Linked DNA regions of Ovis aries. The protein of the gene in region 2 binds, or shares a complex with, the protein of the main gene of each other region. Links are inferred from orthologs where the notes say so. Each region holds a gene or a part of one and is shown on either strand. Other genes may lie near its edges.

Evidence for each region.
Region 1: CBLL1 (region 2) and METTL14 share a complex: the UniProt entries of both Homo sapiens proteins name them as parts of the WMM complex. The link is inferred for Ovis aries from reciprocal best matches to the Homo sapiens genes CBLL1 and METTL14.
Region 3: CBLL1 (region 2) and VIRMA share a complex: the UniProt entries of both Homo sapiens proteins name them as parts of the WMM complex. The link is inferred for Ovis aries from reciprocal best matches to the Homo sapiens genes CBLL1 and VIRMA.

The regions. Positions count from the first base shown.
Region 1 is NC_056059.1:7,019,590-7,027,772, forward strand, and holds the end of METTL14 (N6-adenosine-methyltransferase non-catalytic subunit), read right to left. Parts: intron 2,048-8,183; coding exon 1,743-2,047; 3' UTR 576-1,742; downstream 1-575. UniProt on the Homo sapiens protein: The METTL3-METTL14 heterodimer forms a N6-methyltransferase complex that methylates adenosine residues at the N(6) position of some mRNAs and regulates the circadian clock, differentiation of embryonic stem cells and cortical neurogenesis.
Region 2 is NC_056057.1:50,282,792-50,290,924, reverse strand, and holds part of CBLL1 (E3 ubiquitin-protein ligase Hakai), read right to left. Parts: intron 7,857-8,133; coding exon 7,773-7,856; intron 6,790-7,772; coding exon 6,716-6,789; intron 4,134-6,715; coding exon 3,095-4,133; 3' UTR 1-3,094. UniProt on the Homo sapiens protein: E3 ubiquitin-protein ligase that mediates ubiquitination of several tyrosine-phosphorylated Src substrates, including CDH1, CTTN and DOK1. Targets CDH1 for endocytosis and degradation.
Region 3 is NC_056062.1:82,720,437-82,728,619, reverse strand, and holds part of VIRMA (protein virilizer homolog), read right to left. Parts: intron 7,620-8,183; coding exon 7,347-7,619; intron 5,402-7,346; coding exon 4,261-5,401; intron 848-4,260; coding exon 356-847; intron 1-355. UniProt on the Homo sapiens protein: Associated component of the WMM complex, a complex that mediates N6-methyladenosine (m6A) methylation of RNAs, a modification that plays a role in the efficiency of mRNA splicing and RNA processing.

The DNA.
Region 1 (8,183 bases), on a different chromosome or scaffold from region 2:
CTGCGACTGACATCACAACAATTCCCTGGTCTAATATGGTTCAGTAGTATTTGGGTACGATATTCCCCACCACGAACTCTGTTCTAGCTGACCCAGAGCAGGAACCAGACTAGAGTCCTATTTAAAGGACAGAATCACTCCCTAGCTGGTGTGTCTAAGGACTCCCACTGGGCAACTGAGTATCTATCTTCTTCATTCCCAGGTCACCTTTAACAAATAGAGTTCTCTCTATTAATTACTGGAGCTGAAAATGTACCACCATTTCAGTAAAAATTCTAACGAACAGTTCCACATCATATCTACATCAAGAAGAACATTAGTCAAATGCTACCTGTACTAGAAAGGTCTAACAGGTTGAGCAAGTAAAATTCATCACGCTTTTAAGGATCTCAAGCATATTCCTATAATTCAGTCCCTATCTTCAAACTGAGTCTTTAAAGGATATAACATAACCTCATTTTATGAGCCAATACACATAAAGGACTACTCACAGACCAAGAGAATAGTCTCATCTGAGGTCAATCCTTTTTCATTTGGTAATGACAATTCCACTCACAGAAAAGAGACTCTCGAAGTTCAAAGGTTTAAAGTTTCATTAGAAAAATCATACATAAGATAAAAAATATGTTTATCAACAATAATGGTATTATTTCATTTAGCAGATTCATGCAAAACATGAGTGACAGTATAGAAATGACCATATAAAATTTCATACAACTTATCTGGAAAACCAGTCCCTTAGAAGGCAACTGCAGTTCATTTTTCCAAGCTCTCTTCTTAAGTTGAGGGTTTTCTGTAATTGGTTTTACCTTTTCTCCATAACAAGTTTAAAGATGCATGTTATTTTCCCATCACCAAGTACTTTATTCCCCAAAATGTTTAAACCAAGCACCTGATAACCAGGTGTATCTGTTGCTTTTATTCTTTTATTTTGCTAAGGAATATGAAACTGCTTTGAAAGTCAATCCAAGATCACACCAAAGTTTTATTGTCCTTAGCTGCTTGGCTATTTGTCCTCGTCAGCTTCTTAGGAAGCATGAGTAACAGTCATTGGTAGCTGCACAACTGAGATTATAATGAGCACTTTTCCCCTCTTTGTAAAAGTATGTCTATGGGCTCTACTCCTCTCTGCCCACCCAGTGGCTCCACCTCCCTGATCAGATTTAAACCTGGGAGGAGGCTTTTGTTCCAAGTCTCTTAATTTCTTCTGTGATCAAACTACACGAGTTTACTTAAGATTTTTCAAAAAGAAAGAAAAAAAGTCTCTTTTATTGTTTCAATGAGAAAATGTTGAAACCCTAAGAGAAGTTTACCATCTGTCCCAACTCCACTCGATCAAGCCTGCAAACAGCTTCCCATTTGCTGTGACAGCAATGGTGGGATGCCCATGATCAACTACTGTCAGCACCCGTATGATACTTCAGACTGGGTCTTTTTCACTGCTCACTTTATTCCTAAAAAGCAAAAGCCTTTGTAATTAGACTAAATTCCGTTTCTGAAAGCGAAGGTATTTGTGTTGTTCCACTCAGGTTACATGCACAGGACGAAAGCCAGGATGACTCACTTACCCTGAATAAAACGTGACAGTGACAACTGCAAGGGAGGTTGATTAAAATATTCCTGTAGCTTAGAGAAACTAAAGCAAAGTGCAAGCTGGAACAGAGTTCTAAACATCTCCTGGGTGAAATTCAAACTATCGGAAAGAAGGTGAAGGGGCATTAATAGGATCAGTGACCTAAAAACTATCGAGGTGGAAAGCCACCTCTGTGTGCTCCTCCACGGCCCCCCCTGAAGCCACCTCTTTCTCCTCGGAAGTTAGATCGATTTCTCTCTCGCCCACGGCCAGCAGAAGTGCCACCTCTTCCGCCTCCTCTGGGAGCTCCACCTCCCCGATCAGATTTAGATTTGGGAGGAGGTGATTTTGGTCGAAGTCTCTCAATTTCCTCTGTACATCCAGTCAAATAGGAATTCGGGGCACTGAAGTAGGATGCATACGTTTCTGCATTGTAGTTACTATTTGTAAGAGTTGGTCCAACTGTAAGCCACCCTGAAACGGAGGGAAAAAACATTAACCTTTTTCTTCCCCCCCAATTCTCTTACTTATCTTTAGGAGCCATTTCAAATCTCCAGTGTATTTCCAAAGATGCCCCTATCACTTACCCAATATTGATATTTTACATAGAACATGTGGCATTTAACTATGGTCTTTGATTTCATATATATATTTGTTTTGTTTTTTCCTTTTAAAAACTTTTATAATATAATCGTCATTTCCATCCATATTTCTGTGAGAATAGGATTTAGAAAATATTAGACACTACACTGAGTTCTGGCTTAGTAAAAATTTATTAAATTTTGTATTACCTTCCTACTTGTAGAAATGGTTCCAGTTTTCTAATTAACATCCTGGAACTAACTTTTGCTTCTTCTCTTCCAACCACGCTAACCCAGCTGGCAGGTCTTAGAAATTCAACCTACTACCATGCTGCTTCTACTTGTTACCATCTTTCCATTTCTGCTGCCACCCTTAGAGTTTTTGTTTTTCTACTAGTTTTGTCCCCTACACATACAACAGACATACTTGTATACGGTAATGCTTTCCCAACCTCTCCTCCTCTAAAAGTGGAAAGCCTAAAGCAAAGCTGAAACCACATTCCTTCTCTGCACAACCTTCTGGGCTTTCCACTAAGCCAGAATTCAGTAACATGGAATCGGAAGCCTTATATGATAAGGTCTGAACTAGCTTTCTAATCGCACTGCTGAAACAATGAACCACTACAGTTAACTGTTTGCACACTGATCTCCACCTTGTACCTATAATTTTTTCTATCCTGTCAACCTGGTGAAAATTCCATCCTTCAACATCCACTTTAAACATGTAGCTTAATGAAATGAATTATCTTTCTGAATTTCCATTACATATTATATTTCTACAGGTAAAAAGGTTTTGTCAATTTCATTGCTAGATAATTTTCCTTATAAGGATGGTTTCTGTTTGATTACATTGTATCTGCAACAGGAAGAACTACAAATTAACTGTAAATGCCTGATGGAGACCACGTGCTTTGAGGTTCCCTGCATGTGGCAATTCCTGATCATTAGGGCAGGTCGAGGAATCTCTAAGAATTAGGTTCTTTACCTGAAAAATTAATCTCACACAATTTCTGCCTTATCAAGATAATCTTAGACTATTCAGTTCAGTTCAGTCACTCAGTTGTGTCCAACTCTTTGTGAGCCCATGAATCACAGCACGCCAGGCCTCCCTGTCCATCACCAACTTCCAGAGTTCACTTAGACTTGCATCTATCGAGTTAGTGATGCCATCCAGCCATCTCATCCTTGGTCATCCCCTTCTCCTCCCGCCCCCAATCTCTCCCAGCATCAGAGTCTTTTCCAATGAGTCAGCACTTCACATGAGGTGGCCAAAGTACTGGAGTTTCAGCTTTAGCATCATTCCTTCCAAAGAAATCCCAGGGTTGATCTCCTTCAGAATGGACTGGTTGGATCTCCTTGCAGTCCAAGGGACTCTCAAGAGTCTTCTCCAACACTACAGTTCAAAAGCATCAATTCTTCGGCGCTCAGCCTTCTTCACAGTCCAACTCTCACATCCATACATGACTACTGGAAAACCATAGCCTTGACTAGACGGACCTTAATCGGCAAAGTAATGTCTCTGCTTTTGAATATGCTATCTGGGTTGGTCATAACTTTTCTTCCAAGGAGTAAACGTCTTTTAATTTCATGGCTGCAGCCATCATCTGCAGTGATTTTGGAGCCCCCAAAAATAAAGTCTGCCGCTGTTTCCACTGTTTCTCCATCTTTCCCATGGAGTGATGGGACTTAGACTATTAGGTCCATGATAAAATGGAAAATATTTTACTGCAGTCACATTCTAAAATGTAGTAGCCTTTTTTTTGTACAAAACTGTGTTCATCATTTAAATCGTCTAACAGTGCACAGATAAAATCTGTTACTATCTGGAGAAAAATAACAGATAAAACCATATGATGCTTTTCATGTCCCATCAAGTAGACACCTTGATAAAAATGAGATGAAAGAATACACTGCACACCTATGTGGTCTCACTGACAATTGAACCTATGAGACTTTTACTTGCTTTTGGTTTATTTTCTACTATACATATGGTGCTGTGGAACACAACACACAAGCAAGAGGTAAGAAAAAATTCGAAGATTTAATAAAAATAGTTAATATTGTCTCCTTCATGCTATATTGCCCTCCATAAATAAGACATAAACCTTTACAAAGTAAACTGCAAGGGACACTACCTCCCACTCACAAATTCTTCACTGCAACAGTGTTCTATTAAAATTTTGAATCCTTAATTTCTAAGAACCAAGTAACTTTAAATTAGCCCGGCTTCAGTGAATATGATACATATATCAATTTTTAAACATTTAAAGCAATAATAAAGACTATTCCTCTGGAATGTGTTATATACCTTAGACTATCTCCTTGAGGAAGAAATGTATTTGAGGATTTGACCCAAATAAATTATAGCCTCTTGAACAGACTTCTCTCAATTGCTCCTATTATTATTTACATGGTTAACTTTCTACTACATAATTTTCCAAAGTGGATATTCTTTCTTAATACTAAAATAATCTGTGCAAGAATGGGCAAAGATAAAGAATCAGATAGTAGTTTACAAGCAAAAAATAAAATCTAAATCTCTAAGACTTTGTACAACTGGTATAGATATAGACAGAAGGGTATCAGAGATATAATGTATAATATAAAGTGGGTAGAGTGGCCATACCTAAATGAATGGAGAAAATTCCCATTATGTTATAGTTATAGAATATTATAAATACAAACTGGCACCAAAATTTGTATTTTTATTTCAGTTGCTGTTTAGGTTTATATCTATAGCTATACTTAATAATTATCTACTCTCTCTACTCCTTAGGTTCTTCCACTCACATTAAAAAAAAAAAACTTAAAATAATGCTATAAAGCCATTAAAAGCATTATAATTACTTAAATGTAGAAATAATTTTGACATATATTTTGACATAATATTGAGAAAAATACAAAATGATGAATGACACAGTTATGTAAAAATTTGTATGCACAAGAGGACTGGAAAGTATTATGCAAAAAAATAATACTTCTTGGAAGTAGTGAGGTTGAATCTTTTTCCCTCTTGAAAATCTTCTTTAATGTTGTTACACTGACTTTTCAATTACTAAAAAAGATTACCATCTGTTTGATGTTCCCTTTTATTGTTCAAATAGCTTTGCTGTTTTCTTTACAGTTTTCTACTTCCTTTAAATAGCAGTTCCCACTGGAGATTGTTCCCAGATTCAAAAACTATTTTTGAGTACAAAGGTTAATGATGGAAGATAAAAATCTGTTCCTTATTTCCTCAAACACTACAGCCATAATCTTAATATTCAATACCTATGGACATCTACACTTTCTGAAAAACATACAACTCCAGCTGAGCATCTAGTCATATTACTTTCTTTTAAGCCAGTGAAGAGGAAATATTTGCTTGCCACAAGCTCTGTTGCCAAAATATTTTACTTTGATAAGAGAGTAAAATCATCTACTAAACCTCTAAACAAGATGTTCATGTATATGTACAGCAGAAGTCTCAACAACTCAAAGTTCATTCTGTAGCTGTATATCTAGTATGTGTGTAAAACTCAGGCATGACTGTATATATAGAGAAAAACTGCCTTTAAAAGACTAAAGAAACGATGAAGTTTAAACCATAGCCTTCCTACCCTTTAAAAAAAAACCCAATATGCTACTTTAATTTAAATTTAATAATTCAAGGGTACATGCTGCAATTTCCAAGAAAACCAGTGAAGGAACAATAAAAGAATATCTAACAAAATAAAAAAGAAACACTTGAATAATATAAGAATTCTTAATCCAAAAGAAATGAGAGAAAAGGGGACACAGAACAGGTTGTACCAATGTAAAGCAAACATTAAGGTGGTCATAGCAAACACCCTCTTCCAACAATACAAGAGACAACTCTATACATGGACATCACCAGATGGTCAACACCGAAATCAGATTGATTATATTCTTTGCAGACAAAGATGGAGAAGCTCTACACAGTCAGCAAAAACAAGACCAGGAGCTGACTGTAGCTCAGATCATGAACTCCTTATTGCAAAATTCAGACTTAAATTGAAGAAAGTAGGGAAAACCACTAGGGCATTCATGTTTCACCTAAATCAAGTTCATTATGATTATACAGTGGAAGTGACAAATACATTCAAGAGATCAGATCTGATACAGCATATAGAACTATGGACGGAGGTTCCTAACACTATACAGGGAGGCAGTGGTTAAAACCATCCCCAAGAAAAAGAAATGCAACAAAGCAAAATGGTTGTTTGAGGAGGCCTTACAAATAGCCAAGAAAAGAAAAGAAGCAAAAGGCAAAGGAGAAAAGGAAAGATATACCCGTCTGAATGCAGAGTTCCAAAGAAGAACAAGGAGTAAGAAGGCCTTCCTCAGTGTTCAATGCAAAGAAATAGAGGAAAATACAATAAGACTAGAGATCTCTTCAAGAAAATCCGAGACACCAAAGGAACATTTCATGCAAAGATGGGCACAATAAAGGACAGAAACAGTATGGACCTTACAGAAGCAGAAGAGATATAAGTGGCAAGAATACACTGAAGAACTGTACAAAAAAGGTCTTAATGACCTGGATAACCACAATGGTGTGATCGCTCACCTAGAACCAGACCTCCTGGAGTGCGAAGACAAGTGGGCCTTAGGAAGCATAAATATGAACCAAGCTAGTGGAGGTGATAGAATTCCAGCTGAGCTATTTCAAATTCTAAAAAGTGATGCTGTGAAAGTGCTGCACTCAATATGCCAGCAAAGATTGAAAACTCAGCAGCGGCCACAGGACTAGAAAAGGTCAGTTTTCATTCCAATCCCAAAAAAGGGCAACACCAAAGAATGTTCAAACTACCACACAATTGCACTCACTTCACATGCAAAGTAACACTCAAAATCCTTCAAGCTAGGCTGCAACAGTATGTGAACCAAGAACTCCCAGATGTACAAAATAAATTTAGGAAAGGAAGAGGAACCAGAGATCACACTGCCAATATCTACTGGATCACAGAAAAAGCAAGAGAGTTCCAGCAAAATGTCTACTTTTGCTTCAATGACAACACTACAGTCTTTACTGTGTGGATCACAGCAAACTGTAGAAAATTCTTAAGAGATGGGATACCAGACCACCTTACCTGCCCCCTGAGAAACCTGTCTGCAGGTTAAGAAGCAACAATTAGAACTGGACATGGAACAACAGACTGGATCAAAACTGAGTAATGACTATGTCAAGGCTGTATATTGTCACCCTGTTTATTTAACTTATATGCAGAGTACCTCATGAGAAATGCTGGACTGGATGAAGCACAAGCTGCAATCAAGATTGCCTGGAGAAATATCAATACCTCAGATATGCAGATAACACCACCCTTATGGCAGAAAGCGAAGAGGAACCAAACAGTCTCTTGATGAAAGTGAAAGAGGACAGTGAAAAAGCTGGCTTAAAGCTCAACATTCAGAAAACGAAGATCATGGCATCCGGTCCCCTCACTTCATGGCAAATAGATGGGGAAACAGTGGAAACAGTGACAGACTTTATTTTCTGTCTCCAAAATCACTGTGGATGATAACTACAGCCATGAAATTTAAAGACACTTGCTCCTTGGAAGAAAAGCTATGACAAACCTAGACTGCATATTTAAAAGCAGAGACATCACTTTGCTGACAAAGGTCTGTATAATCAAAGGTATGATTTTTCCAGTAGTCATATACAGATGTGAGAGATAGACCATAAACAAGGCTGAGCACCAGAGAATTCATGCTTTTGAATTGCGGTGCTGTAGAAGACTCTGTAGAGTCCCTTGGACAGGAAGGAGATCAAACTAGTCAATTCTAAAAGAAATCAACCTTAAATTTGGAAGAACTGATACTGAAACTGAAGCTTCAATACTTGGGCCACTTGATGCAAAGAGCCAACTCACTGGAAAAGGCCCTGATGCTGGGAAACACTGAAGGTAGGAGGAGAAGGGGATGACAGAGGATGAGATGGTTCGATGGCATCACCAACTCAATGGACTTGAGTTTGCACAAACTCCAGGAAATAGTGAAGGACAGGGAAACCTGGGGTGCTG
Region 2 (8,133 bases):
GGCCACAACTGAACAGATTACAATTACAAATCAGTAAAGAAAAATAAATCCACTTCAGTTAGAATATAGTATGATTATGTCAAGCGTCAATTAACATCAATATACCAATTTGATGGTTGATCTAATAATCAGAAAAGTGTATTTTTGTTTCAGGTACTTGAGATTTTTCCACATACTTTTTTTTTTTCCATTAACGTTTTTTCAAAAATAAGTTTACATGGTTTTTCCAAAAAGTCGTATGAAACATACCCTTCCAGTACATCAGAACAAAGCCAAAAGCAGCTCTGTATACTTCATATCATAAAATGACCTATTTCAAGTTTTAAAATATGGTCAAATTATCTTTTCCATTTGTATTAGTGTTAGTCTCTTATGCAATAACTTGAGCAAGTGGTTTTTTACAGGGCAAAATGAATATTAAGTAGTTTCTTACAATCTTTGCAACTGATCATTTTCTCCAATACTATATATTATACTTTGAACAAGCATGTCACTTTAGAAATACTAACATTCACCCTGCTGGTTAATCTCCAAAAACGTGAAATTTTGCTGTAAAAGTTGTATCGACGTGGAAAATTCTGCAGTCTCCCAAATGTGTCATCATTAGGTAAAAACTCACCTAGGCAAAATAGTATTTATGCTTTCATTTTATTGTTTTTAAGAATTAAACTGCCACCTCAGTAGTCTTTTAAGAGCAATATAATGAAACATACATACATTTAATTTAGACTTACGTCCATCATAGCTTCAAAGGCTTCCCTGAAATAAGGCTGGGATTCACATCTTTTTCCTTAAGGAAAGAAACACTAACAGTAATTTTGTTATCCTTCTACCCACCCACCCTCATTCAAACAATAACTAGATGAATTCAAGTCTAACACCATTTAAAAAAAAAAAAAAAAACCTGCCTGCTACAACATTTATCTGAACTGCCTCCCTGCATAACACATATTTCTTTAACCTAACCAAAAAATTTTAAAGCCTACGAGACTTAACGTGGAATTTTACCGTGATAACATTTGTTTGTTCAATACATTCAATTCTAGTGAATTTCAATTAAATCAGGTGAGCTCTTCATAAACAGCTGAGAAGCTTTAAAGTGAGTTTTGTTATTTCCTATTACATGAAACCAAATTATTGGTACTGAATTTTCAATAATATTTTAACAGCTCCAAAGAGGGCCATTAAAGGTAATCAAGTCTGCACCAGTCCAAGTACCTACAGTAATATGATAGACACACTCACCACCATTTCACACTATTTCACTCCTATGCTTCTAATAACAATTTCTCATTAGAAACACCGCATTAACACTGAACTCTCAAATTGCTAGGTGTGAAAAATCACGTACTTTCACTTAAAGAAAAAGTGTATTATTTTCAGCTGGTCATGGTTGAAAGGGCCATTTATATTATTTCAGCTCTAAATTTATAGATGACTTTGCATCAGATTATCCAAAGTGAGAAACTGCTTTGCCTGTTCCTGACAGAATTAAATGGTAAATTAGCCATCAGTTCACCTCTTGTCAAAAAGAAATGTTCTAAATTTATACACTACAAACTATTTAATAATAAATGGTATCTGTATACTACACATTTCATGTTTATGTTATGCACCATTTTAGGGGGGAGGAAGTACTTCACAGGGGTGTATTCAAAGGACATATAGTAATATCCTAAGAATGTTGATTTATACATATGAATTCTGTATAAACTGTAAGTGGTCATCTTAGCTGGACTGTAACAAGCCCCTAGAATGCAAAAGCTGACTCCGAAGGCACCTTATAATGCATTGAAATTCACAATTTAGACATTACTTTTCTCTTCAATAGAAAATCATCTGGTAGTCTTCACTGTTGACTCTATGCTAAAAAAATGTTCCAAGTTTTAGACTGCTTAACCAATGAAAGAAACAGGAAGTCAGTAATAGTTTTTAAATGTTAAGTTAGAGAAAAACACCTTATCATACAGTAATGAAACCTGAGCAACGCAAGTATGTGATTACAAGAACATCCTTCATTAATACAGTATTCAAATTCCTCCATGGCATTCAAATTATACTTTAAAACCCAATAAACAAGAATCCACTTAAGCACAGGATCAAATTCTACCATGAAATGAGGAATTACATAAAGCCTATTCAGCCCAAAATATTTAGTTTCAGACAATGAGCAGAGAGGAACACACTTCATCTAAAGAATACCACTTATACAGTTCTATAAAATGTTACTTAAGGTTAATAAGTGTGATGCATATGACTCCAACCATTCGGTAAAAAGCATTAATGAGTAACAGCATCCCCAACAGCTTGGAGCCTACAGAGTTGATTACTTTGGCCCTATCTTTCCAAAAATACAAGCAATGCCTCTTAACATTACAGACATAAATATTCTTAGTACTGGAATTTCAATGTATTTTGGTGCTCCTGAGGCTGCCTATAAATGAAAAGGCATCCAAGTGAAGTGCATTATATACCTAATATACCTCAAAATTTCAGTGCCTAAAATGTGAAATAATTTTCTACCATTTAACAGTCTGCCTTACAGTAAATTCTATTAGATTTTTACTTTTAGGATTTTATTGTAACTTTGGGAAATTAGTGGTAAAACATATGGTTTAAAAAACAGTATGTGGCTGCACTTAAGTTCACATAAAAATAGTATTTTTACAACCATATTGAAGTTTAATCCTTTTACACAGGTTAACAAAATGTATCACAAGAAAAACTTAAACATTGGGTTTAACAAAAGACGTACTTTTGAAAGTGGAACAATGGAAAAATGTTTTCAATTTTTTTTTTTTTTTTTTTTTTTTACAAATGGTCACCTCTGGGTCAATTTACCACACTAGGGGAACAAAGTTCTTAAAATATAGCTGTGCTCAACTGAGCCACTTAACTGCACTACAGTATAGTACTTGAAATCAATCCTAAGGTCAAGATTTAAAACCATTTTAAGAGACAAGACCCTAAGTGTTGTACAGCCACCTCAGCAAGAGGCGCTTTTCCTTCCCCGAACAGTCAAAGCTTAAAGAAAAGATTGACTATACATATAAGTTTTGTTTCCTCATCATATCATCAGTTCAGAATACTATTATCATTGGTAATACGGTCTATATCTTGTCTGATCTGGATGATGTGGTCCAGGTAGTGGGGTTTGAGAAGGCGGACCCTGCATTCGTGGAGGAGGAGGTGGCCCTCTCGGTGCAGGCCATATACCAGGACTCATTCCCCCTGGTTGTGTAAATGGAGGGCTCAGAGTTCCTTGATCTTCAGTGAACTGGGGTAAAGAGTTGGGATTGTAATGGTGAGGAGGGGGTGCAGTTACAGGTGGACCACCATGTTGAGGTGGGGGAGGTCCTGGAGGAGGATGATTCATATAAGGTGGCATCTGGGCAATAATATGTCCAGGGGGAGGGGTAATTGGTGGTGGAGCAGAGGTCATTGGTGGAGGTGGAGCTTGGCTGTACACCAAGTGAGGAGTACCTGCGGCCTGGGGAGGATGTGGCATTGGATGGCTTATTGGTGGTGGAGGAGGTGGGGGTGGTGCATAATGTTGCTGTGGAGGCATAATATGATGAGGGTGCGAGACCACTGGTTGACCCTGATATTCAGGATGATGGTGAGCAGGTGCGGGGGCAGGAGGTGGTGGTTCTCTAGCACCTGGATTTGAGTCATCCTGAATAGGGACAGTTATTAAATTGCTGTGTTTTCTTGTTGAAATACGAAAGGTTTCCTGACTGACTGAGCGAGGTGGAGGAGGAGCCATGGACAATTCAGCTGGAGGAGCACGGATATCCTCGTGTGGCTGATTATAGTGCTCGTGGGGCACATGTTGCAAAGGAGGTGGTGGCATCATGATGTGCTGCTTTGGCGGAATATGGCTCATATGGTGCTTGTCTGGCGGCATGATAAAACGATCGGGGATTTCAGCTGGTGGTGGGGCAATAGGAGGAGGATGAACATTTTCAAGTGAAGCCCGGGTAACAGGTTTTCCAGCTCTCATATGGCGGTGGTTGATATGAGCCTGTAAGTCTCTCTGAGACAAGTATGTTCTCTTGCACCCTTGAACAATGCTACACATGAAGAGAGAACCTCGTGTACACTGCTCAATTCGCTGCACAGGATCACTACAGCTAAATCAGAAGGGGAAAAAAGTTTGATTTACTAAAAACAGACTATAAAAATAATGCACTAAATTTCAAAGATATGACTAGTTTTAAATTTTATTATGGAAAACATTGCAAAAAGTTCACAATTAAAAGTTATAGTTTATGTAAGTGAACTTTTAATCTTTTCCACTTTGTGGTTTGTTTGCTATTAAGCATCAGCATTTCTGTCAACATCAAAATTCTTAAGAAAAAAATTTAAAGTGTTTATCAAACAGAGTAGGTTTGAAGCAAAACCCTTTTCTTACCAAGATTTAGAATTTATCTGATTTCACAAACAATTCTATGTTTTGAATCCGTGTGCAAAAAACCCCAAAACTCCAGGAAGGGCAAACCAAAGGATCTTGTCAGAATCACAAAATGCAAACCTGTAGAGTATTTATTGACCAGTAAGCAATTTTATGAGCAAATAATACTACGTAGAAGATACTAAGTGAAAGGTGTTGTAAGAACTACAAAAATAAACAGGATCATCCTAACGATCAAGGTTCTTAATATTAAACAATATTTCAAATTCAAACCATGAATGCCAAGAGTCCTTTCAAGGAGGGAGTCTTCCTGAATTGTCAGACAAATCTACTACTACAAAGTATTACACACTCCTACTTTTCTAAATTATAAACACTAAATTTAACTCAATTATTTTCTTAATAAGTCAGGGTCAAATTGTAACTATTCTTCATCTGCTGTTTTTTAATCCACTTTTGCCTTTAGAAGGCTTCTTGAAACAACAGAAAGAAGACTGAACTAGGAATTGGAACTGGGACCTAGTATTGGCTGAGATCTTGGAGAAGTCATTTAAACTTTGTTTCTTTATCTGTAAAATGGGTTATAACATCTAATCTAACTCATAATGCTTTTATATAGACTTCACCCTACTTAAAAGAACATTTGAAACATCAATGAAACAGTGAAAATGACAGGACTTAATGATTAGTTAAGCACTAAACACGTATAAGCTATCATCATTGAATATGTGGATCCGGTCATATGACCTGTATCAAATGGCTCCATATTCTTGATTTGGAGTGGTGGCTGGTGTTTCTTCCTCACTGTAGGCTGGTACTACTTCTTCATACTTAGGAGGCTTCCCTTTAGTGGCCATTTGGCACACTTCTCATTTTTTGCTTCTAATTTGCTATAAACTCTGAAATAGCTCCACAGTAACAGGATTGGGAGGTGGGGTGTATTTCTTTGGGTGAGGCTTAAGCATTAGTATATAATATTTACATTAATTAGGGTTGTCATTTCTTCACTTTCTGACCCAGGTCTGTTAATCCAGATAAGCTTTTGTTTTAATATCCCTAACAAGCCAACCAGTGATATGCTTACTGAAGTTACACTGAAAAACTTGAAAACTAAATTCCCTTTTAAATATTAACATCAAAACACTTACATAAAAGAGAAAACCTTCTGATGTCCTCTACATGGTGTTTTACAACATCCAAAATCCCTTATCTCAATGAGGCAATCAAATTTACTATAGAATTTAAGCGGATGTACACTGTGTTGGAAAATCAGGCACTACAGAAACTGAGGCAAATAGTGAATATGCACTATCAATTTCCTAATTCTTTTGAATTATAATTCTATTGAGAAAATATTCTTTAAACTCACACTATAAAATTTATAATATATGACTTTAAAGGGCTAATAAAATATGCTAAGAGAATTACTTCTTACTGGTTTGTTAATGAATCTTCATTCTCTCCCACAGATGCTAATCTTCCTACACCATAAAAGAAAACTATCCCTTACAACTGTCCACAATTTTATTATCAACTAATATTACAACCCTTGGGATAGGTTCTAACTTAGGTTATAAGTGACCTAGAAAGCCTACAGTTGTTCCCAAAGAAGTTTCTCTCAAGGTTTTTCTTAAGTCTTCTATCAGGGGTTCTGAATTGATATAAAAATTCATAGTTTATTCTGGATCCTTACTATTCCCAAAAAGATCACTATCGATCAACACCTCCCTATGGTCTTAATTTGTCTGAGCCTGTCTTAGAACATGAAGGTGTTGTAAGATGTACTCAAGACATAATCAGATTTGAAGTCAATAAATAAAGAGATTATACTTACATAGTACTTGCTATCTGCTACTCATTTACTTCTAATAATAACCCAGGGAGGTAAGTACTATTATTAGCTCCATTTTACAGATAAAGAAATCATGTATGTGACAAAATAAATCACAAAATAAAGATTTGAATCCAATAATTCTAATTCCAGAGTCTTTGCTCGAAATCACTACATGATACTACCTGTCTAGCATCCCATTAAAATAAGAAAGTATTTTTGGTTTATAATGCTAACTTTGTGATGTATTTATTATTGTTATTTTGGCCAATGTGAATTAACTGATAATAGCTAATTAGCCCTATCCTAAGGAGAAGGTTATAGCCAACTCTAGGTTCACAGAGAAACATTTGCCAGGTCTACACACTTGACATCTTGCCAACGGTCTATATCATATCCTCACCTTTAACCTAGATCATAAATCATTATATCACAATCCTTATTATTTAAAAATTTAATGATGATCTTACCCCGGACACATCTTATCTCCCTTTTTTTCATGTAAAATAGCACAGTCATAGCAAAACACATGCTTGCATGGAATCTGCAAACAGAGACATGTTACAGTTAATATTCTAGAGCAAATTAAAATATTTCAATAAAAAGCAACAGTGAGCGCAGTGACCTAGACATGGAAGGTACTTGAGAACTGTTGGTTAAAATGAACATATATTAAGTACTAGTTACATAAAAGCAACAGTTAACCTTCTTCAGTCACAAAGCTCTTTGTGAGAATGCAATGAAAACTTTGGCCCTTCCCCAAAAAACATATACATGCACATTCATGGTTCCTACAGGTTAAAAGCTCCTGAAGAATACTGTACAACGTTTCACCTAATCCTATTATCTCCACAAAGTATTTCATGGCAGTGAAAGAATACGTATCCTCTACATTTAATATAAGCAGCCTTCTTCCCTGGTAGTCTTAAGTTAATGAACTTACAAATATTTAAAATAAATCAGAAGGACACAGTAAAATAATGTTACACTATTTTAAAACTCACAATTCATTACTGTTACTTAGTTATGCCACACAGCAAAGCAACAGTGCAGAATCCACGGCTTCTACCACCACAGATTTAACAGTAAATTCAATTTTTTTCCAACAAAAATGTAAAACTATCTTTTCATATATGAAGATTACTATAAAATTACAGTACTTTAAGTGCTTAGAATACCCAGAAATCATAAATAATATTTAATTCCATTTTATATTAAAAATTCTAGCCTTTAGAAATAACTGATTCTGTTAAAGAAAAAATTTTTTTCCTTAAGGATCAAACCATTCAAAGAAATTAGTTTCAGAATTCGTTTCCTTAATTAATATTTTACAAGCAATCCAAGAATCTGTCAAGATAATTTTATTAAATGCATATTATCCCCAAACTTTCCTTAGCTATTTTATACTTATTCATTATAAACTTTATTGTTAAACAATAATAAATCTATCTACTTAAATTTCAGAGTCCTCATCTCTACACAAATATATAAATTTATAAAAACAGAATTTAACTTAGTTATACTTACCATTCGCCCATAAATTTTAATAGGTAATCCACATTTGTCACAGAAATGAACTGGAGTATCATCCTTTTCACCTAAGATATTTATCTGTTGAAATGATATAATTAAAATTTCCTTAAGCATTTCTAAAAATTATGTCTATAAATTACACAATGAATTAGTTAGTATAAAAGTTACTAAAACAAAACAAAAAAAAAGTTACTAAAACAATTAGAAATGAAGATCTTTTGGTATAATACCACATATGCCACATTATTTGGGCAACCATCAGTTTTGGGTTTTTTCCCCCTTTGACAGTGTTATTACTTATTGATTTTACTTGACATCACTGAAAATTACTTCAGATTATTTTCAGAAATATGGC
Region 3 (8,183 bases), on a different chromosome or scaffold from region 2:
AGAGCATCATGAAGAGCTTAGCAGGTGAGGGCAGAGACACCAAGGTAGTCCTCATGACTCTTAAGCTGTATGTATTATTTCTGTGTCTTACGTCTCCCCTCCACAAAAATCAGCAGGAGTACTACGGCTGCAATCTTTGTTAACTCTGTAGGGAAACTGAAGCAGCTCCTATTTCATTTCTTTATATCCACATCTTAGAGAGTTCATCATTCTAATCCTTGATTTACAAGTTATAGGCTATGTCAAAAAATTATAGTTTTTATTTTCAAAACAATACATTCTTTCAAGAATCTACCCCACTAGTGATGTAGTTTTCCAATAAAACAGGAAATTTAAGGAGTAAGCATAAAATTACCCTAAGGCTTCTTTGGAATAGTACTCCATTAGTGTAATAAGACTTTGGAGATTTTTCTCAAGACTGAAAACATGGCCAACAGCTGATCTTCCCACAGGATTAAAAGTAATCAAGTAAAGGTTGTGCAGCGTTCCCAACAGATCTGAGTGGTCAGTTTCTTCACTGGCTGTACAATGCTGAAAATGGCTGAACAGTTCTGTAATACACTGCAATGTCTGTGTTGAGTCCTGTAGCCATAAGGCAAACGCATCATCAATAACACCATCAGACTGGAGACCATCTTCTTCATCTTGATCATAAAGATGACAAAGAGCTCGAATCAACAAATTTGTTGCTTCATATTCTGACATAAAAAAAAGAAGACCCTTTTGTGACTGTGCAAGAAACTTTAAAACATCTTTCGTGGCTTGCAGCACACCAGGATGCGCACTTGTCACTGGAATTGACAGGAGCAAAGTAACCAACTCCAGGAAGTGATGACTGTGAAGATACCTGCAGAAGAAGTAACAAGATATACGTTAAGTCAGCGCAAAACATTTCATTTACTCAGTTTTCATTAGACAGGTAGTGCTAAAAATTTTAATAGCAATAATCCTTATCCTCAGCAATATACCGCTTTATTTAAAAACATAATGTGAACAGCAAGTCTTCTCTCCACGGGACCAAATGAAAGTGAAAGTTCTATAAGGCTTTTTCCTAGCATTCAAAAGATGTTTAATTAGTAACTGTTGACAAATTTTCTCTTTCCAGAATCAACCTTGACTTTAAATTCTGGGCCTTCTTTCCAGGCCACTTATGAAATGGCTCCTTCCTTTTTAACTATGGTCCTACTCAACTCATAGCATATCAGTATATCTGAATCCATGCATCTAGGAAGAATACAGTGCATATACTATAAAAAGCATTTGGTATATTCAGATTTACTACAGGTAGTATATCTGAACCGGTACTTCTAGGAAGAAAAAAAGGTCAAATTATCAATCTTCAGTACTTAATATAACAGTACTCTTTTATTACGTCCAAGAACCATTTTTTAGTACACACAGTTTTAGTAGATAAGGTATGAATTTACCTAAAACCCCTAATAGACACAACTGCTACTGATACAGAGTATTTTCATTGTCTTAATAATACTCTGTGTCCATCTATGCATCCCCTAACTAGCTCCTAATTCCTGGCAATCACTGATCTTTTTACTGTCTCCATAGTTTTGCCTTTTCCAGAATGTCACATAGTTGTAATCAAAAAGCATAAAATTGCCTTTTCAATCATATTTCTGCTTAAACTCAGGCTTCTATATCATGAGGAAAACACCTGCAGTAAATGCTTACCACAAAGGTAAACACTTCTATGCTCTTAAGAGCATCCTTAATCACCTTATGGAATGTTCAGAAAATAGTTAACATGGCAGGCCTCAGAATGCTTATTCTTAGAAAGGCTGGTCCTTGGCTGGCCTCTAGGGACTTGGATTTTGGGATAGTTTCCACCCACCAACTGATAAGAATACTCACTGCAAATAAACTTTATGCAAATAATATGGTTCATTCTGAATACCTGCTTTCTCTCTGGCAGTCTGAAATTCTGGGACATGCAAGACACTGGGTGCCTACATGGCTATCCCCCAATAGGAAGCTTGGATGCTGAGATTCTAATGAACTTTCTCAGTATGCAACATTTCACACATGTCACAATTTATTGTCAGGGGACTTAAGGGGATCCTTTGTGCCTAAACTAGGAAAGGACTCTGGAAGCTTATGACTCATTTTCCCAGGCTTTGTCTCATGTATCTCTTCCCTTTGGGGATTGTGTTTTATATCTTTTTGATGTAATAAATCCTGATTGAGATTACAACACTGAGTCCTATGAATCCAGCTAGTCAATCTGGGGGTTACCTTGAAGACTCCAACATGGGATATTAGAGCCTTGCCATCACTTCAAACTAACCCTTCCAAAATGTAATTACTTCTCTTTTCAAAGTTCACTCTCCCTCCTAATTTATCAATTTCTGTCCATAAAATCACAGTTCCAGTAGTTACCCTAGTTAGAAACCTCAAAGCATTTTAGCTCCTTCTTACTTTCTCTTATCAGGTCCAATTGCCAAGTCCAAGTAACGCTCCACCACAAACTCTCAATATAATTATATTATAATATAATATAATCTTAGAACACTACTTCGATCATATCAGATCTGCTACTCTAAAATATTCAAGATCTTCCACATTCTAAAAACGAAATCCCCAGGAATTCCCTGGCCATCCAGCAGTTAGGATTCAGTGCTTTCACTGTCAGGGGCCTGGATTCAACCCCTGATCAGGGACCTAAAATCCCATGCACCAAGCAGCACAGCCAAAAAAAAAAACAGAAAAAAAAATTCCTTAGCCCAGCATTCAAAACCCTTTATCTCCTAAAATCTGACACCCAAATGTACGATCTCCAATTATGGGAGGAGAAAAACCAACAATACTTTATAGGCCATTAATTACTGGTTTCCCCTCAACAACTATTTGGGAGCATCATCTCTTTTCTTATACTCAGTCACCCTCAGGGCATTACTTTAAGTCTTAATTTACCAAAAACATGACCAGTGAGAAGCACCTGTCTCCTCTACTGTCTCCATACTACAAAGATAACTGTATTTGTATACTCAAACATTTCCGTTCTCTTGTTCAAAGCGAAACTGCTACACTTGTACTCTTGGCCTCATCTCCTACTAGACCTTGCTCTAGCAATTATCATCTTAAACTCCTGTATGAATTCAAGCTAAGGCAAATATGAGTTTCAGCTAAAAACAAGAATGGATAGGTACAGATTTTAGAATGGAGAGTATTGATTTTTTTGTTAATACATTATGCTCCAAAGCCAGGCAAAAAAAATCACTGAAATAAGGAATAAAATAATAAAACTGCAATTTTTATATTTGTTAAAAAATTATTTAGAGGCAAAATACCAAAAAAAAAAAAAAAAGAAACTCTCAAAAATTAAAGCAAATTTTAAAAATCTGTGAGTACCTAAAAACGGCAAAACTGTATCAATAGATAACTAGAGGGTTAGAAGGGAGAAACAAGTGACAACTGAACCTTTAATATATCTTAACAAGGACTGCAAAATTAACTTAGTAAAGTACCAACTTCACTTACAATGTTTTAGAATCATAAGGTACAAAGAGCTTACACAGAAAAGCTCTCTCCTTCCTATGCCATCCTCTGCTTCACCTTCCCAGAAGCAACCTGGTAATTTCTCCTTTATTCTTGCTCACAGATATGCTAATATAAGCACTATGGTTGGTTATTACTTATATCTTTAACTTAAGTTGCTATTACTACTTTTAAGTATTAACAAAATATAGCTCACATACAGTAACACACTTCTCACTATGACCTATCCTGAAATATCAAGGCATCCTTACCAAGACACACATTACCTATAGACAAATTTAAAACAAACAAACAAGGGGCTTCCTTGGTGGCTCAGTGGTAACGAATCCATCTGCCAACGCAGGAGACACTTCAATCCCTGGTCCAGGAAGATCCCACACGCCACACAGCAACTAAGCCTGTGTACCACAACTATTAAGCCTGTGCTTCTGAGCCCAGGAACTGCAACTACCAAACCCACAAACTGCAACTACCGAAGTTCATGTGCCCTAGAGCTTGTGCTCTGCAATAAGAGAATCCACTGCAATGAAAAGCCCTCACACTGCAATGAAGAGTAGCCTCCATTCGTCCCCAACTAGAGAAAAGCACAGGAACTAAGACCCAGCATGGCCAAAATGTAAGTAAATAATAAATAAAATTATAAAATAAAAACAGTAAAACAAAGCTTTGCAGCTTAAAAAAAAAGGCAACCACATGAAACTGCCTCTAATAATTGGTGAAATATACTTTCCAAAGCCAAAAATGTCTCACCTAAAGAGAACAGGGTATGGATCATCCCTCTCTGGTGGACCAGTAATACGTGCCATTGTTGGGAAAGACTTAACAGGAGGCTGGATCATTGTATGAGGTGCAGTTTCCATTAAATGAAAAACTTCCTCTAAGAGGTTAATCAGCTTTTCTATTTCTCCTTCACTTATATTTGAGGATTCCAGAAGATCCATATCCATAGAAGCCTCTACCTCGTTTTCATATTCTGGGTTTGTTCTCTCAACTCCAGCATCTGTATCATGATCAGGTTCGCTGTGGTTAGGAACAGAAGTCGTCTTCTCTGCTAAATGGTCACCAAGTCTTTTAATCTCTGACAAAATTTCATAGAAATGGCATTTCTGAAGAATAGCTGAACCAGCAGTGACAACCCTCACAGTCTGATCTAAAAGTATGAGCTCCAGAAGTTTCTGATAGCCACTTTTTTCACTCTGCCTACTTCTCAAAAAAGCTTCCATTCCTTCTGTCATACTAATGACACTGTCCAAAGCTTTAAATGCATTTAACTTAAGGGAAGATGAGACATGATCAGCAAACAGGAGCTCAAATAAGCCACTGATCACTCCTGCTTGTAGCAGTCCCGTGACTCCTTGGGTCCCACATTCTGCTAGTGAGGACACTAATTTGGTCCCAGCTTTGAGCTGTCGGACATTTAAGGCAATGGGTTGGCGAAGGGCTACTTGTAAATTTAAAGCTTGCATGGTCCAGTCTATCAACTGGCCAAGGGCATCTTGTTTTGTGTTTTTCAACTGCAAATAACTTAGTCCTTTTATTATTAAACTTGGAATTTCTTCTAAAGCTGTTACCCATTTTGCACCTCTATCTTCTTGATACAAATCCAACAGTTCAGTTAACTTCACTGAGGCTTCTACTGCCCCTGAGTTTTCTTTATCTGGACCTTGATCCTTCATCCTACTGATTTCGATTTCAAAGGTAGTCTTGTACGGACAGCTGAAGTGTAAGAGTGGTACCAGCTCCCTATCATATGGGTCATATGTCATAGGAGGGACTGAAGCTAAGTCTTCAGCAGTGTATTCGACATCGAAGTTTGGATACTTGAATGTTTCACGTTCCAAGTCAGCAATTCCATCTTCATCACTGGAAATCTGCTCATAACCATCATCCCCTGAAAATCAGTTTAAATAATACTTAGTTGTTACATCATTGTTGTTTAGTACAAAACAATCTGGTTACTCAAAATAAATTATTTAGTAACATGGCAAAAATATGAAAAGTAATGATCCTATCAACAGTATTAACTTCTGCCTCAATATCTTATCAACACTTATTAACATTTTATAACTCCTAATAGAACAATTACAGAGAAACTTCATAAGCAAAGTCTTCTATTATATCTGTTCAGCTTTACAATAACTCTGCTATAAATCTTTTCCTCATAGAACTAAAATCAGAAATGTCTCAAAAAAATAAAAAAGAACCAAAAATACCTCTCAGGAGGGAAGAAATTAAGCTTGCCTTGTGAGAGAGTATTTTTAAGATGGAAAAAATGAATTGATGGGCCAAAATTATTAAATTAACTAAGACTTAATACTGTAATTACCAAGTTACACCAAATATTGTCAGGAAAAGCATTCTAGAATTTCATATTCCTTCACTTCTACTACTCTGTGTTTACCTGTTACCCAGTTCCCAGTTCTGTATCATGTTTTTATGGAAAATGTTTATAAAAGTACCCATCTTTGCCAAAACAGAGTTTTCATATCATGACACGTGCAGCTTTCCCTCTATTCAGTAATAGAAGACTAGAGACAGAAAATCTGTTAGTTTTAAATACAACTGTTACCTGGCTGTGGTAAAACAGAGATGAGTAACAACAGCCTAAGAAAGAAAAGGAAATGTTTCCACGGTACTCCTCCAGTAACAGCCCTCTATGGACATTCTTAAGCTCTAAACAACTTAGCCACAGCAATACACTCATATTTGAAAAGAAAGGGCCTAAAACACGAGGACGGGGGAGCCTGGTGGGCTGCCGTCTATGGGGTCGCATAGAGTCGGACACAACTGAAGTGACTTAGCAGCAGCAGCAAAGAGACTTGATTCGAGACTAACCCCCAGATGTCTTTTGGTAAGAATCAAATTAACCAGCCTCATTCTCTTATCCTCTCTAAAAATGTCCTCTGATTAACAAAGCCTGCCTGAAATCTAACTACTACCAAATGCAGTAAATCTAAAATTTATTAGATTTATTGGTATCCTAGAAATGGGGTCAGTTAAAAGAGTTATCACTCAATAACTCAATTACTTGTATTTTGTAAAAGGGCCCCTATAATACTGAAATGGTTCTCATTCTCATGTAGAATGACTCTCCTCTTTAATATCTTATAGAACAAAGCAGATGATCTGTCATTTTACATAAATACTTTAACATTACACTCCATTTACTCAACAAATTAAGAGTCAATTAGCTTGAACAGCTCTTTTTGCTTTCAAAGGAAAAATAAGACCGAACTAAAAGACTGCATCAGGCTGCCTTATGTCCTTCTGTAATTAAGATTTTTTTCTCCTTGTGCATGTCTAATAATAATTAGATATTATTATTCAGCCAAAATATTGAGGTGACAGAAATCTTTGGGGATTCTAGGCAGCTTAAAACACCACTCCTCTGAAGACAGATCACCAAATCCCTAATCACCATGTATTTGCTGCATATCCTCGCTTCCCTGGGAAAAGCCAATGGTATCAAGGGGAAGCTGATACCACAGCAAGGCAAACAGAATCTCTCTCCCAGAAAACTGGAAATGGATCTGAGACACAGGCAGTTTAAATTGGTTGGTTAAAGAGAAGATATTAAAGATGTGGGGTAACTAGAGACATAATAGTTAGTTAAAAAAAAAAAAAAACACCTAAATTCATTTTTCTAACTAAATAACAGATAAACAAAGCAAAGCAAAGATGGAAATCCTCAAGTCTAGTCAAGTCTCAAGGCCCAGCTGACTCTTGGGTTTCTTGAAAGCCACTTGTGTCAGCTATAAATTTTTCTGCATTGCTAAAAGCTACATCAAGCTAGTTTCCAGCACTTAAAAGCAAGAAGTCCTAGCTAATTCACCCACCTTCACCTTCTTCATCTTCTTCACCTTCTTCCTCTTCATCCTCCTCTTCCTCCTCAGGGATACTATCTACTGTATGGCGATCATCTTCATCCTCATCCTCTTCTTCCTCTACATCCACATCATCTTCATCATCTTCTCCTTCTTCTTGCTGTTCCTCTTCTACCTCTCCTTCATCAGAATATTGACTTTCCTGGGGAACAGAATTCCGATCAGGAGAAATGGGTTCAAAGTAATCTTCTCTATGAGGAGCATCCTCTTCCTTGTCACCAGACACTGAAAAATTGATATTTAAGGCACAGATTATTTTAACTATTTAAATAATAAGAGGCAGAAGGACTGGATATTGTAACTATTTAATATTTTGGATGATTTAGCTCATAAACACACTTTAAAAAAAAGTAGTAGAATTACTTGCTCTTAAAAAATATTAAGGAGGGGGGAGGGAAAAAAAATATTAAGAGTAAACACTGCACAATTTTCTAGAGTGTGAATTAACAAAGTATGCTATTTTATGTTTTTACACAATAATCCTCTTTTTTAGCTATTAAGTAACTACAGATTTTTATCTCTTCCAATACATACAGGTTATTTTTACTGGTGCTTCTCTGTACTGTCATTATAGTACATTAACATTTTATTTTCAAAGCAATGTTGCTTCAGTTTCAAATAAATTAACTGATTTCTCTTTTAAACAAATTCACTTGCCAACAACAATAACAATAAAAAAAAAAACCCACAAGAAAACACTGCTCAGAATGGGGGTGGGGGACATTCATCAAGATTTGATTACCAGCATCTATTTTTTTTCCTCTAATAAAAAAGTACTATTATATTACC